Lepisosteus oculatus: one gene and its partner. The protein of the gene in region 2 purifies or fractionates together with the protein of the main gene of each other region. This does not show direct contact. Links are inferred from orthologs where the notes say so. Each region holds a gene or a part of one and is shown on either strand. Other genes may lie near its edges.

Region 1 (7,880 bases), on a different chromosome or scaffold from region 2:
GGTTTATCGTCCCCACAGTCACTCTGTGAAACAGGACCCTTGGGGCCTATAAAACACAAGCAGGAACTGTCAAACTCACATCTTTTAATTTTGAAGAAGCAATCTTAACCCCCATTCCATTCCAAAAAAAACATTTACAGAACTAATGTTAAGTCAGTTACTTAGAAATAAAAACATTACTTGCGCAGGGGACCATATAATTCTCTGTTTTGCTCATTCTTGATGCCAGTTCTTTACCAATCAACTACAGAGCAATTAATCAATAGTGATTTCATTTTGCCTCAGTATAACATGCTCAGTAGTATGACTGTAACATAATTTCACCTATTTCCCCATCTTGCCTTTCGCTAATGTTAATAATAAAATGTGAAACTTAATTTTCAGTGAAGAGCTTTGCTTCTCTTGAGATGTTTTTTTCCCCCTAACTGAGTGAGGTTTGTTTAGTTTTGAATGCTCCAAGAGTATTCAGTCCAATTCAGAGTTTGTTTAAATGGCATTCAGCTGAGCTCATCTTATGGCCTGTTTTGAGTAGTGATTGTTTTTGCACTCGGTAAAGTGCAGTTTATATGGAGAACAGCATGAAAACCAAATGTCAATTGGGAAATAAATCAAACTGCAACAGAATAACAGAAAAATTCATTAAGACCACGCCAAAACTATTTTACACATACAAATATCTACTATATTTATGGTATATTTACTATTTGTTTCTCAGGGGTTGAAAGACAAAGGGTTGCAAAAGCTGCAAACAGTGCAGAGTCTATTTAAAAAAGATGAGCCAGATGAATTTCAAAATCAAAGACATAAAATAAGGCCACTGAACATAAAAAGGTTATTAACAGAAAAAGAGGCAGTTTGGCCTACATAGCCCACTGGGTGACTAGTAGCTAAGTGACCTGAGGATCTCATCCAGCCATTTCTTGAAAGAAGCCATGTTGAAGAAACCCGCTTCAACAACATGGCTGAGTAGTTTGTAACAGAATGCCAAACAAAACGCAATGAAACTCATTTCCAGTTAGAATGCACTAACTCTGGTCCAGCAACACCTCTTTGAACAGCAAACAGGTTTTTCTTGGAGGTCTCCCATTTCCAGGATTAACCAAGGCCAGACTACTCAAATCATGTTGGCTTCTAGACTTCTCCATTCAAGACTACGGAAAAAAAAATAATTTTGCATCTAACACAATGAACAAATTACTACACATTATTATTGCAGTGTAGTCACAAGCGAACCAATTCCCCCTAAAAATAAGGATGTTAACCAAGAAAACAAACCTCAGACCACTTTCACACAAACTCAGTTAAGGTATGTGAAGTGTGAATCTGCACATTGCCGGTGGTGGAGATGAGTTATCATTACCTGTAAAGTGTCTGGAAAAGCGCTATATAAAATGTAACAAATTATTTCTTTTTTACCACAGTTGAACTGTACCACCCCATAAAAAGTAGCAAACTTTGCTCGAATCCAAAGACCAGGTTTTCTATCACCCCAGATTTCTACAATGATGAACGTTTCAAGAAACGATGACATCATTTCAGGAAAATACACAGTGCCACCGAGCCCTGTTACGTCGAACAGCTAACATACACATCCGTTGTTATGAAACCATAAGAACGCAGTTGGCAATTTACCTTGTGAATTAAAAGCGGGAGGATTGATCTCTTTTGTTCGCGCTTTGAAAACGACGGCCTTGGCAACAGGCTTTTTAACCTTGAAGTCATCTTCGTCCACTGAAATGAAAATACACCAGCAGGTTAGGAAAAAAAAAAAACGTGCACATTAATTGAATGCAAAGAACAGAAACGAAAAACAACAAAACAATGTCAATAGCAGGCTTTTGATGACATTTTCTATAATGCAATTATAGATCAGAATGGAACATACGTTATATTTGAGTCCCTTTTTTGGCTGCATGGTTCAATAATGACTCCAGCACAGGTCTGAGCTCTAGGCATGATCAGCGATGACCCTCCCTACTGTGTCTTGGCTTAAACAGATATTCTTCGTTTCTGCTTCACCTGGGTTATGCTCGCGACACAGCGACAGCTCGCTAAAATATCAATTCTGTGAAGAGATCCCATGCATGTCATTTGCATCTGCAGAATCTACTGCAGGCTGTCTCCGTGCATGTACCACATCAGATTCACGCAGAAATATAAATACTGGGGCGTACCTTGTTTTTCATCACCGAAACTCAATAGAGTGATTTTATTTTTCGTCAGTTTCTTCTCAGCAGCGTCTTCCGCAGCCGTATCTTCGCTTACATTTTCTGTGTGCGGATTTTGTCCGGCGACTGAATCCGGCCTGGAGCTCCCGGACTCCCGCTTAGACGTGCAGGAAATCCCCCGGCTCTGCGGATACTTCAGTAACCGGGGAGCAACCGAGACCTTCACCTCGTCAGTGGCTTCTCCCTGCTCTTCTTGTGAAGGCTCATCTTCTCCGCTCGAATCTCCTTTCCTCCTCCTGAAGTTTCTCTTTGGTTTCTTACCGAACATATTCAGGTGGGAACTGCAATAATATCTCAACAGTGCGGATCGCAAATGATTATCTTATGTATTTTTTTTTTAAAAAAAGTACTAAGCCTTACAGCATCCCACGTGTATCTCGGTAGTGAAGTAAATGAAAGACTAAAGCACAATGAAACACATTTACATTTTTAAATGCTAAGCAAGTTAGCATAAACCAATTACTCCATCTTCATTTATGGGGGGAAAAAAGTACACTTACAACACTTCTTCCGATTTGCTTCAACAACATTTACGTTTGTACTTTCCGGTTCCCTGCTCTCCGGCTGCATCATGGGTAATGTAGTCCATAAACAATGCGTCGCTCTATTTCTTCCTTCAAGAACTCTGTGGAAATTAAAGTAAACTTGGCATTTTGAAAACCTTCAATAAAAATGTTAAAGAATTAGAACTTTTCATAGAAGAGCCTTTTTGAAAACTAAAGCAAACTATAATTAAAGGACAACGGTGCAGCCAGTTCTTGCTTGTTAAAGCCAAATAGAATTGCATAGCCACAGTTGGGCCCAGAAATCACAGTCCTTAAATATTCCCTCAGGCTGTGAGAGGCAACTTACTTTCTCTCTCCCTCCTACTTATTTAAGAGAAGTTAAGAGATACAGAGCTGTCAACCTATGAGTCAGTGCCAAAAAGAAAACCTCTGAGTTGTCCATGTAGCAGGTTCTCCTCTGTAACGTCTTGATTGTAGATTTCAAGCGTTCAATGACTCTAAGGCAGAGACAGACAAGTGTGCTAACTGAGTAGCAGAAGGGTGATATTCATTCTATTATGATGAGGACTTGGAGTCCTTGAATTTCTTTGGAATAAAACAGACCCAGACATCTTGGTCTTTCTTGGGCAACCAGGACAAAGGTTTTAGGTTTGGCACTTAGGTGCTGTACTTCTAACCTCATGAAGTGGGGACATTGGTCCCTATTCAACAGGCATAATGTTATCACCAAGATCCCCATGACATCCACTTTTCCTGTACATGCCTTGTCCCTGTCCTGGCTCAAGGAAAGTGAATTTTACATATGCATCAGAAACAGGCTTAAAGCACTGAATAATTAAAGTTCAGAGAAGCTGGACCTTGCTGTCTTCTCTTCCTATGGTGATTTCAATAGACATTTTAATCCAATATCCCGAATAAAATGGGCTGTAGAAGGATGCCTTAAGACTCAACAAATAGTACAGTTAATGCTCAAGGGTTCACAGTATGCCTTCTGTATATCAGGAGTCATAGGCTCTGACCTGTCACCCCACTTCACAGCAGAGCAATGGCAGCTCATTGTAGCACAGCTATTCTGTTCCAAGAACAATGGTGTCTCTTTCTGTTTTCATTCCAGCCTTTAACATGGTAAACCAGCTGTTTAGTTGTTCAAGTAGATTGATTTATTACCATAACCCTGCTCTTCAGGTGCTGCTGCTTTAAAGAGACCTTAAAAAACCTGCGGACGCACCAGGTCTCCAGGACCAGGAGAGCCCACCCCATGCTAGTACTGTATATATAGTGGATAAAAAAATATTAGGTTGAAATTGTATGATGTACACACTAATTTGTACATTTGTAAATGATCTAAAGTCTATTACATTGGCACTCCATTAATTACATCACCACAGTTTGAACAATCTTCCCCTTTCTATACTCTCTACTCTCAGTCCATTAACCAGTTCTTAATCCCAAAACTGAAGTTTCCCCAAATGCAACTAACTTTTAATTTGAGAATTTATTTTTATGGGAAACTTTTATCAAAAGCCTTTTGTACATCATAAAGTAAATCATACAGCCTGCTTTACTGTTGTTGCTTATTCAAGAACAAAGCGCTTAGGCAAATACTTTTTACCTTCTTTAACTTGGTTCAATTTTGTCGTCCTTTGTACTGCCAGGCACTGTATTCACTCTTTTTTGTCTTATTCTACTAGATATTATCATAAAGCAGTACATTTTAGTGTGTGTATAATCTCCACCAACTTGAGTTCCAATGCCTTGCAAAGTCAGATTTAGTAATTTCAGTACATTACAGTATATCATGCAGCCACATTTGAATGAATTTATTTTATCATCAAAAATCTGAGATGTGAATAAATATAATTTTAAAACTAAAAAGGAGTATCTGTTGTTTCAACCAATTTTATTTTTTGCACGGATAGCTTTTAAGGCGTAGTCCTGCAGGTATGCTGACAATGCATAGCTTTTTTGCTATTAAGACAGGCTGGGTGTGATGCGTACCTGAACAGTGAGAGGGCAGTATGTGCAAGGTTGCAAAAATGAGATTTCCCCTCCCATCCTGGGGTTGAATAGTAATCAGGCTCCGTGTTGTCAGCCATGTTGTTGGTGTAATACTACAGTGCTGCTTCTAGCAAGCAACAGGTACAAGACTGAAGCACGTTTTCTGGAAATAAACATTGAGTCTCACGTCTAATTACTTATTTTGACCGAGAACATTTGTTGATAATGGAGATTTTCCAGAGTCGGGATTAAACCAAATCCAAAATATTTTTGGTGTCCTTCCACGAAAAGTAAGTAAATTTAAGAATTATGAATACTTCATTATACATATACAATATGTATATAAATTATTTTACCAAGGAACATATTCTATGTATATATACATAAACATAGTTTGGTGCTGGAATTTTATCAGTAAGTAATGTAATTAAAGCTTTAAAATTGAAACTTGTCGGTTACATTGAAAGCGAGGATGTAAACAAGCACGAATACATAGGATTTTTTTAATCTAGTGTTATAAGAAACAGGATTACTTGATATATTGGGGTTTATGTTCTGAATCATTTATTGTGGTTGCAGCAGTAAAGAAATACATATTTGAAAATTTCCTTTTCACGACTCGCTTGGCAGGTTGTTGCGAATTTAAAGCAAGTGTCTTGCAGCAGTAGGCAAAGGAATGAAACTTCATTGCACTGGTTTCTCTGCTTTATATAAGGAATTTAATGAATTTCATGACTTTAAGAAATAATTTGAATAATGATTTTCAATTTTTAGAAACATTTACACACTGTTTTATTGCACTTCTGATGTATGGGTTGTTTTTCTTTTCTTTTTGGAGATTGAATTGTCTTTCATGTATTTTAAAATGTTAAGAAAAAGTGGTCTACATGTTTCGAACCACTTTTCTTAAGCATTTTTTTCGTGTTTAGAGCGTCAGTACAAGAACCCTCACAATTGTAACACGATGAATACTAGGAAATTAAACAATGATAAAGTAATTTGAGTCTAGTGAGTCACTTGAAGGGCATTTGTTCAATTAATGCAGGAATGTACTGTATATAGTGGCAAAATCGACCAGGTTCTTGCATTTTTTTAAAACGTTTTACAGTGAACAGTGAAAAGCAGTTTGATTATCTGGACGTTTTGTTACTTTGAAATCACTTGCTTTCTAACAGGAAACTTTTGATTCTTCCTGGCAAGCTGTGCGAGAAAAAAAAAATCAAAATGAAGACTCATTCGGTTTTTCATTAATGGATCCCATCCTCCCCCTTTTCCTTATTTGACTAAGAGAATCTCGGGTCAGAGATAAAAATAGAATATTCATGAATCTAGTTTGTTGTGTCCCTGCACGGATGACATTTAGATGCACCATACAGTCCTCTTCAATAAGGGGTGGGTGGAAAAGACTCTATTACTATTTCTAAACTATTACTAGTGCTATTAGAAACTGCTATTGGCTTTGTGTTGTTTAATGCAAAAGAGGCTGAAACTGGTTCGAATATTTTAACACTTCACAAGACAGGTGTGTTGTCTTGGGCAGCTGGGCAGCTGGGGACTAAAAAAATTCAGTCATGGCTGAATTTTTTTAACTTCTGAACTTATTACAGTAATTTATCATGCAACACACAATGTTTTAAGTTCCTTGTGTTCCCCTTTTTAGAAAGCCAGAATAAAACAGTGCCTTAAATTATGAGTCTTGTTAGGTTCCTGCATCCTGTTCGTCAGTTGTCAGTTAAAGCGGTCATATCCGATGTTACACGTGGTCAGACCAGGATGTGTATGTGAATATAACCAATCTCTTATTTCTTTGTATCTTCGAGTATTTGAACATATTGGGGAGTTTAATTCAATAATTATTTTGTTACAGGATAACAGTCCACTTTGTTAATACTTTCATAACCTCAAGCCACAAGATGAGAAGGAATTTGCTGTAGATCTAGGATGATATTTTTCCTTTTTCTGCACTGTAATCCCTTTTGGTGTCTCTTTAAACCATCTTCCTTATGAATACAGAACAGTTAGAGTTTGTCTGTTTTGTGTAGGAGTTGTGGCAGCCAGAGAGTGAAGGAGGATGTGTATTTTGACTGATGAATTGCAGTGCGTAAAGGGGTGGATTTATATGATATGAGCATAAGCAACATTACAAATCTAAGGATGCCATTTGGCCCATCTAGCTAGTTTGTTTGCTAGTAGCTAACTCGGGTATTTTATCTAGCCATTTTTTGAGCTATTGGGTTCAACAACATGGTCTCTGGTTTCCAGATTCCCACAACCCTTTGTGTAATATGTGCCTAACATTTTCATTTGTAAGTGCCTGTCTCCTTAGTTTGCACTTGTATCATGTAGTCAATGTTTCACTGATGGCTCTGGTATATTGGTTTGACTTTGTCTGCACCTCAGAGAATTTTAGTTTATGCTGGCTGGTGACTTTCACTGGTGCTACGTGTATATGTGAATATTGTTGCAAGCCTGATGTTGTCACACATGACTTTCAGTTCTGTGGATGACGAATCTTCCCTCATTTTAATCCAAAGGGTGAGATAAGCAAATGAATCATTCTGTTTGTGAACAAGGAGGCATTACTGCGCTGAGAATAAACTACAGAAACTGACAACAGAACCTGCTCATGTTTGTTTCCTAGTAGCTGATTGGTCAAAGCATTTTTACTATCCATTTCTTTAAAGAAGCTAAGTTACTCTCTTCAGTAGCATGGCTAGGTATCTTGTTCCAGACTACCACAACCCGCTGTGTAAGAAATGCTTCTTGTTCTTTGTTTTGAATTCTTATCTATCTAGTTTCCACTTGTCCTTTGGTTCTTGTTTTGCTGTTGGTTCTCAAGAAGTCTGTTTTGTTGTCTTTGTCTGTGCCTCACATGATTTTGAAAACCTCAGTCGCATCAATCAGAATACAGTAAAAAAGAACACCAGAAGCAAAGAAAAATGGCAAAAACAATTTTATCTCCAAGGTGCTTTACATACTTACATGGCTGTAAGTGAGCAGCACTACATACAGTATTTCTTTTGTGTATCTTAATGTAATTTAATATTGAAAATTCTTGAGTTGCTTTGCTTTCATTTTCTGAATAGCTACTTCTGTAGCTCTGATTTGTGATTGTGTTTTTGAAGTCTTTGGTCCAATGATGCTAGAA
Region 2 (7,221 bases):
TAAAACTGGGGGGGACATATTTTAGTGTTACACCTGATAAGCAGTGTGCAATGGAGGCTTCAATTGTGTGACACTAAATAGTCTCCCTCTTGTTTTTATTAGCTACTGGTTTCAAGAAATAGTTAAGATGTTTTTTTTTCTAATTTCAGCATCAATGATGAACATTATATGATGTACAGTGAGAAAGCAGTACATCTACATCAATTATTCCTGTATTCCCTAGACCTACTTATTTAACATTGAAATTGTAGCATCGAATTCCTTCCCAATTTCTAAAAAAAAAAAAAAGCACTTCACTATGGAAGTGCATGAGAGGTATGCGTATGGTTCGCTATTTCTGCAGCGTTCATTAAAGCGAATTAGAAGAATTTAGAGTGGAAAGAAATGCAGAGATGCAAAACTTGTTGGCCGAAGCACAAAGTGCATTGAAATAAAATAAGAGCAGCTTTCTCCTTGACTGTACCGAATGACTCAGTTTTTCTTTTCTTGTGTTGCTGTCATGATAATGTGTGATCAACGCTGAACCTTCCTGTTTAAAGAGACGGCACTTTAACTGCGAGAATGTTGCCCTGAGAGATGGGAGAGGTGCATGTGGTTTTTTTTAAGTTACCTAGTGCCCTGTTGGACCTTCGGCATGCTGTAGAACTCATTTATGTATCGCAGTGGTGGTGATTTTTCTCTTTGACTTCCTGGGTATTTCTCTGTTTGAAGTTTCAGATTTTATTTCAGTTTTTTTTTGCCTTTCTGGGGAGGGGAAAAGAAGAAAAGTTTTAGCCTTAACTGCATTACTTCCTGAAGGCTCAGTTTGCTGAATGGTTCTGGGATTCATCGATTTCAGCATTATGTAAAAAATAAATAGCTTTTACAAAGCTTTACAACAGAGTCTTTCTGTCTGTTCTTTATGCATCCCCTTATTGCACAGTACTGGGTGGGGCTACATCTCCCCTACGATTGCTGGTGAAACCTCAAGGTGTACATTAACCCCTAAATGTGCCCCAAAAACCCCTCACATTACCAGGTCTCATTCCCTCACGGACAGGAGGTTAAGCGTGCATCTGACAGGTGTTCTGTGTAATAGTAATAGATTTATTCCATGCTAAAAAAAAGAAGAGAGAAAACACAATGTTTCGGCCGTGGAGCCTTCTTCAGGCGTGGTATGTGCTGATGGACTGTATCTTATACAGTCCATCACCATCAATATACTTATACGGTGCATATCTAACCTTATGTTCTCCTTGTTACTGTATAGTCAGGTACTTCAACTCTGGTCATGAAGAGGGCTTGTCCAGCAGGTTTTATGGTTAGCCTTTAAATAATACATTGATAAAGATCGTGGCACAATTTAGCTATGATCATTTAAATGTGCAGTGTTTAATGACTTCATTTTCAATTCGTTGGAGCAATGCACTTATACAGTACATACATTAGCTGAAGTCCCTGAGCACAAGACGACAGCATTTACTTCAATACTCCACAAGAGGGCGCTCTTGATCCTGAATTGCAACACGAAAAGGGTTAGTCTTCAATGAATTACAGGTGTAGGACACATGGTATGTGGTGATGGACTGTATCCTTATACACGCGGGTGTAAAAAGTGTTCGATGTTGCGTTGTAAAATAACTATTACTTTAAAAATATGTATGATGAACACTATAGTTGTTCTAGAGATCCACTATAGTGCAAACGTCTTACCATGGAAATGTGCTGTTGCCCTGAATTTCACAGCAGTGCAATTTAACAACAGCAGCATTACTTTCTTACACATACCTATAGTTAACTTTAAGTAAAAAATCAGGAATTTAAATTATAGTCACAACTTTTATCCATTAACAGTTCATGATAAAAGATACTTTCTTGTGCGCAAGAAACCTTCATAGAACAGAAAAAGTCCTCTTCATCAGAGGAGTTGTTCTGTGGCTCAACAGTCCTCATCCTCTTGTCTGAAGTATTCCAGACCTGTATTGTAAAATAACAGTTTATATCCTTTCTCAAAACATGTACACAGCGTTGGTTATGCACAAAACGAAGATGATTATATTACAGGTGGCGCAGTGGCTAGCATTGCTGACCACAGATCTGGGTGCTATCTTGGTGGAGTTTGCATGCTATCCTATGTTTGTGAAGGTTTCCAGTGGATGCTGCTATTTTCTGCTGTCCACAGATAAGCTGGCAGATTGATTGGCTCCTGGGAAGGCTGGAAAGACAAAACACAAGTTTGAGAATGAAATGTTCTTTTATTATTCTTTTGTTATCACTCTACTGTAAAACGGCACTGTCCTTTGGATGAGACGTAAAACCGAGGTCCTGACTCTCTGTGGTCATTAAACACCCCAGGGTGTTTCTCCAAAATCTTTGATCTGGGTTCATCACTCTGTTCTTCTCCCTGGTGATAGCTGATGTGTAGGGATCGATGGGAAATTTGGCCTATTTTCGAGAAACACCCTGGAATGTTTAATGACCACAGAGAGTCAGGAAGAACGTCTCCTCTGAAGGACAGCGCCTGTTTACAGTATAGTGTCCCCGTCACTATACTGGGGCATTAGGACCCACACAGAGCGCAGGGTGAGCGCCCCCTGCTGGTCCCACTAACACCTCTTCCAGCAGCAACCTTAGTTTTTCCCAGGAGGTCTCCCATCCAGGTACTGACCAGGCTCACAGCTGCTGAGCTTCAGTGGGCTGCTATGGCATTGCCTGTAAAGCGCTTTGAGTGAAGCGTCCAGAAAAAGCGCTATATACGTGTACGGAATTATAATTAATTCTTATTATTTTCTTCCTGTAACACATCGCTTCGCAATCCGGAGTGTGTGGAAGGCAGCACCTCGAACATCTTGAAGTCCTTGTTTCTCAAGCCAAACCTGATGTACATGAACGACAACATTCACAGGCGAGGGGACTGTGACTTGTCGCCTGCACTGTTTCTGTGCATCTCCGAAACGCACCCAGAGGTGCATTAAAGAGGCTTTACATTGTAGGTGAAAGCGCAGCCGTACACTGTGGGGGTCACCATCGTCTCGCCTCTGAAAATCCGGTATGAATCAGCAAAAAAACAAACCCTGCAGCAGTTTTGATCTGACCAATCAGTGATGTACCGACAGCACGGTGTTATGAATCCCTGACTTGTTAATTTAACTTTGATTCATTATTGCGAGGTGCGTTCAGAACTTATTTTCCGTTTTTGGAAAACACTGAGATTCCAATTCAAACTGCACATTGTTCCTGAAAGCCCTTATAAGGAATGCTGGGAGTCCTACGTAGACGAGGACCAATGGGCTTTTTAACAGTTTTGTTTTTTTATTATTATTGATAAAAGTCCCGGACAACTACCGATATAGCGGTGTCCACTGTACTCGACATTCTGTGTCCGGAGATTTCATTACAGAATATGTGCAGTTCCAGGTTTCTACAAAAAACGTATTTTTGTAGTGCATATTTCAGTGATCGCACAGTAAAAATGACATTTATAGAGAAAATAGGGTCAGCAATCCATTGTCCAGCGCTCTTTTTGACGAACAAGTAACTGTTCTTATTGCGCATGTGTAAATGTGTTCTGGGTCAGACAAATATGGGGTTTTTAACGTTCTTTCTGGAAAACCAAGGCGGAAGGCAATTCCCAGAATATTAACATAAATAAAACATATTCTGTCTGCCGAGGGCTTTTAGGCGAAAACGGGTTCTCGAAACACTGCAGTCGCTTAGCTGATTCACTCGCGGTTATGCCGGTATTTGGCCACAGATCGCTGAGCAGGAGCTTTAAAGGCACTTTACAGCCTTGCGGTTTTTCCACTATCCGAGAAAAAAATTCTGAAACCAGAAATGACCGATTTAAGCTCAAGCTAAGAGGTCGGTTCGGGTGCTTGTACGTGTAATTGCTTCAGAAATAAATTACTGCACACCCCTCCGTTTTGCATGGATTATTGTCATCATTTTATTCATTTAATATAGAGATTTACACGTAATTATTTATGTTTATTCTGAACCGTATTAGAATGAAACCCAATGTTAATGCCCAGTGTAAGAGGCAGGCGCTTCGTGCAACAGTCGGATATATCGGTATTACTTTGCACGGCAGACAATAAGTGACTGTACCGTATTGTGTTTTAGTTCAGCGGCTGTGAGTGAACATCCAGAAACCTGCCCGGCGCGTTTTCCACGTGTGAAGTGCGATTTCACGCCCCGCGCATCCTGCGAGTTCTTGTTCCCTCGGAGGCGCGTTTCCGACGAAAGGGTGTGCGCGCTCCCGCAGCAACAGGGAAGATGGCGGCGCTCACGTCTCTCACTCAGGTACTGATTCTGGCTCAATGTATTATTTGTAAACAGACGGATAATAATCGACGGGACAGACGCGGGCAGTTACAGATATGCTTTTCTCGATTGAAAATCTAACCGTGTCAACTGTGGAACATTAAACGCCAGGCAATTAACAATGCATTTTAAAGGTTACAGTAGTGGGAAGGTATAAGGCCTACTGGGATATTAAACCGTAAAATGTTGAAAGGCGGAATGAAGTCAGCGAGTATGCAGGATGAACTGCTTACGTTTACAAGGAACGACAGAACACGGAGGTTTTTCTGTGTCTCAAAGCGCCCAAAACAGTGCTGGCGTTTTGCCTGACGAACAAGCTGACTTGTCTACGGCTCAAAAGCCTGACCAGAAAACACGGTAACGCGGACAATTGTGAGTTTTCTCCACTTCTCACGGAAAGAGCTTCCGTGCGACGGGTAACAGCAGCTGTCTTGCGATGCTATGAAAACATGAGACGGCATCTTTTGACTTCTGCTTTGGTTTAACGTGCTCGGTTTCCCGGTACAGCCTGCCCTGTAAGCACTACCGATGTGGAAGGGTTTGGGTAGTGTACGCTTGAATAATTCTGACATGCCGTACGTAATCGGCATATTTTAAAGACCGGTTCGGTTAGCAGCTCTCATGTAGGCGTAAGGTTGGCAAATACTTCAGGCTGCACCTGTTTCTGATTAGTTTTTTAATACCATGCCCTTATTCGTGTTAATCTTTAAGGCTTAAGTCGCTTTTTCTTTTGCGCATAGCCTCTAGATAAGAAAACCCCCCAGGAGATAAAAACGGCATAAAACGCCGTCATTCTTGACAGTGTCGTATGTGACCCGAGTTGGAAGCAGTCGGTGTCGAGTTCGTGCAGTTGAGCACTCGGTCTGTTTGAATGGTTTACTTCAGCAGTCTGAAGCCGGCATTAGGTAATGGCTACAGGAATGCAGGCATATACGCCCGACTGCTTGTCAACGCTGTTACCTTTCAACAGGTGAATTGCTTTGAATGAAATGCATGTTATGTGAAGTTCCTTTTCGTTTTCTGAGCGAGCACAGCTGCTTTCGGATTCCGGTTGTGTCGGTGCAACAGCTTAGTTTTCCAGTCCGCGGGGGTTCTGCTTGTTCAGGGACTGTAGCATCCGAGACTACTCAGCCGGATCTTCCAGGTGAGCCTGTGTCACAACTGGGCAAAGGTGTCTCTGGTCTGGGGACGAATGCTTTCTCCATCTCCTCCGAAGCTTTTTGGACTTCCTCCTGTGGGCCCGTGATTTAAGCCACAGTGAAGCAGGAGATCTGTCTGGCTACTGCTTGCAGATGGGGCTTTAGTCTGATTTACAAAGGCTTGTTGGTGTCTGCACTCTGATTAGATCTGCAGGTGTAATGTGTCTCATGTTCGTTACAGGGCATCGTTAAGAAGTGGTGTTGTACAGTGCTGAAAAACAAGGAAAAGGGTTTTTGTGAGCTGAAATGTAGCGCAGACATGCTCAAGAGCAGCTTTTTGTCAATTAAAATGCTTAATGGCCTCTGACCATTTTAACTCCTGTCAGATGGTTCAATCTGGATAATTGACTAAGCAGTTCGAGGAGAGCTAGCAACAGCATAAGACTGCTCTTTCAGATGTGCCTCACCCTTTGGGTAGTGTGGTTATTTCCCAGAGGGGCTACTGTACTCTGAGAATGCCTCATTGAAGTCATTCAGCACCACGATTACAGCCTGTGCATCATCTGTGCTTCACTCACGAATGATGTTAATAAAACACTGACTCCCTGAACAGCATAAGCATACAGATGCAGAATAGACACATTTGATGGTTTGTAAGAAATGTTTTATGTCTGCATATTTTTATTATCTATAATGATTAGAGTCGTCATGTTTTCTTCTCGAATTCATGGCTATTTAAATTACTAAACAGTATTTTAGCATTTTTCATCAATAAATTATGCATTATATTTTTGATAAATAATTTTAAAGTTGGTTTCATCACATACACTGCCCTATGAATTTTATTGTGCCCCTAATGAAATTGGAATAATAATCATCACATAATGGAAAGTTTTACAATTTGGCAATTTTTTTATTACAACAAGTTTAACTTTTTGTAGTGAATCTGAATACCATTGCACAGACCAAAATCCTGTGGGTTACAATCAATGTAAATCCAGAAAACAAGAGGGTTGTGTTTATTCACACTTCTACTGTTAGTATTTTGCAGATCCTCCTCTGGCAGGGATTAGGGGAAATTCTCCCCTTCTGGTTTCTGTTAGTGAACTGTCACCTTGAGTTAGAATCACGAATGTTCAGTAGGATTAAGGTTTGGAGAGTGAGATCACCAAGTCAAGAACATTTGTTTTCTGTACAGTCAACCATGCCTTTGTTGATTTGGACAGGTGATTTGGATCATCGTCGTGTTGGAATGTCTGTTTTCAGCCAAGCTGTAGCTTCTTGTCAATAAGAACCAGGTGTCTGGTCACAATGACCTGGTAATTGTCAGAGTTAGGGAAATGTACAATCTCGACAAGGGCTCCAAGACCAGTAGATGCAAAACATCCCCTCCACAGTATTTCACAATGGGCAGTGAGCATGAGTGCTTTCTCAACATGAGCTTCATCTTTTTATATACCAAACATAATGCTGATGAGCGTGTCTCAATAACTCAGTTTTAATTTCATCTGATGAAAATACGTGGTTCCATTCCAGTGATGTGTGGCAAACTTCAGATGGCTCTTCTTATCACTCTGCTTTAGTAGAGGTTTCTTCCTTGCAGCCTGGTTATGAATCCCATATTCAGGCAATTTTGAATGCTAGTTTTTGACACTTAATGTCCTTGAAGGCTCCAACGTTGGAGATCTTTATCTCTAGCTTTTAGATTTACGGTTGCCTCCCAAAACCACTTGTCTCACAGGCCAAGTTGTCTTCTTCCTTAGAGGGAGGCCACTTTACC

Evidence for each region.
Region 1: the proteins of eps15l1a (region 2) and itsn2b purify together in Homo sapiens (affinity purification with mass spectrometry; 5 studies listed by BioGRID and IntAct, with this or other methods). This does not show direct contact. The link is inferred for Lepisosteus oculatus from reciprocal best matches to the Homo sapiens genes EPS15L1 and ITSN2.

Annotation. Positions count from the first base shown.
Region 1 is NC_090697.1:20,601,349-20,609,228, reverse strand, and holds the start of itsn2b (intersectin-2), read left to right. Parts: upstream 1-4,822; 5' UTR 4,823-5,022; intron 5,023-7,880. Other genes in the region: intron Large complex component GCFC2, read right to left, coding at 1-46, 1,633-1,731, 2,175-2,496.
Region 2 is NC_090724.1:5,378,927-5,386,147, forward strand, and holds the start of eps15l1a (epidermal growth factor receptor substrate 15-like 1), read left to right. Parts: upstream 1-4,199; 5' UTR 4,200-4,254; coding exon 4,255-4,281; intron 4,282-7,221.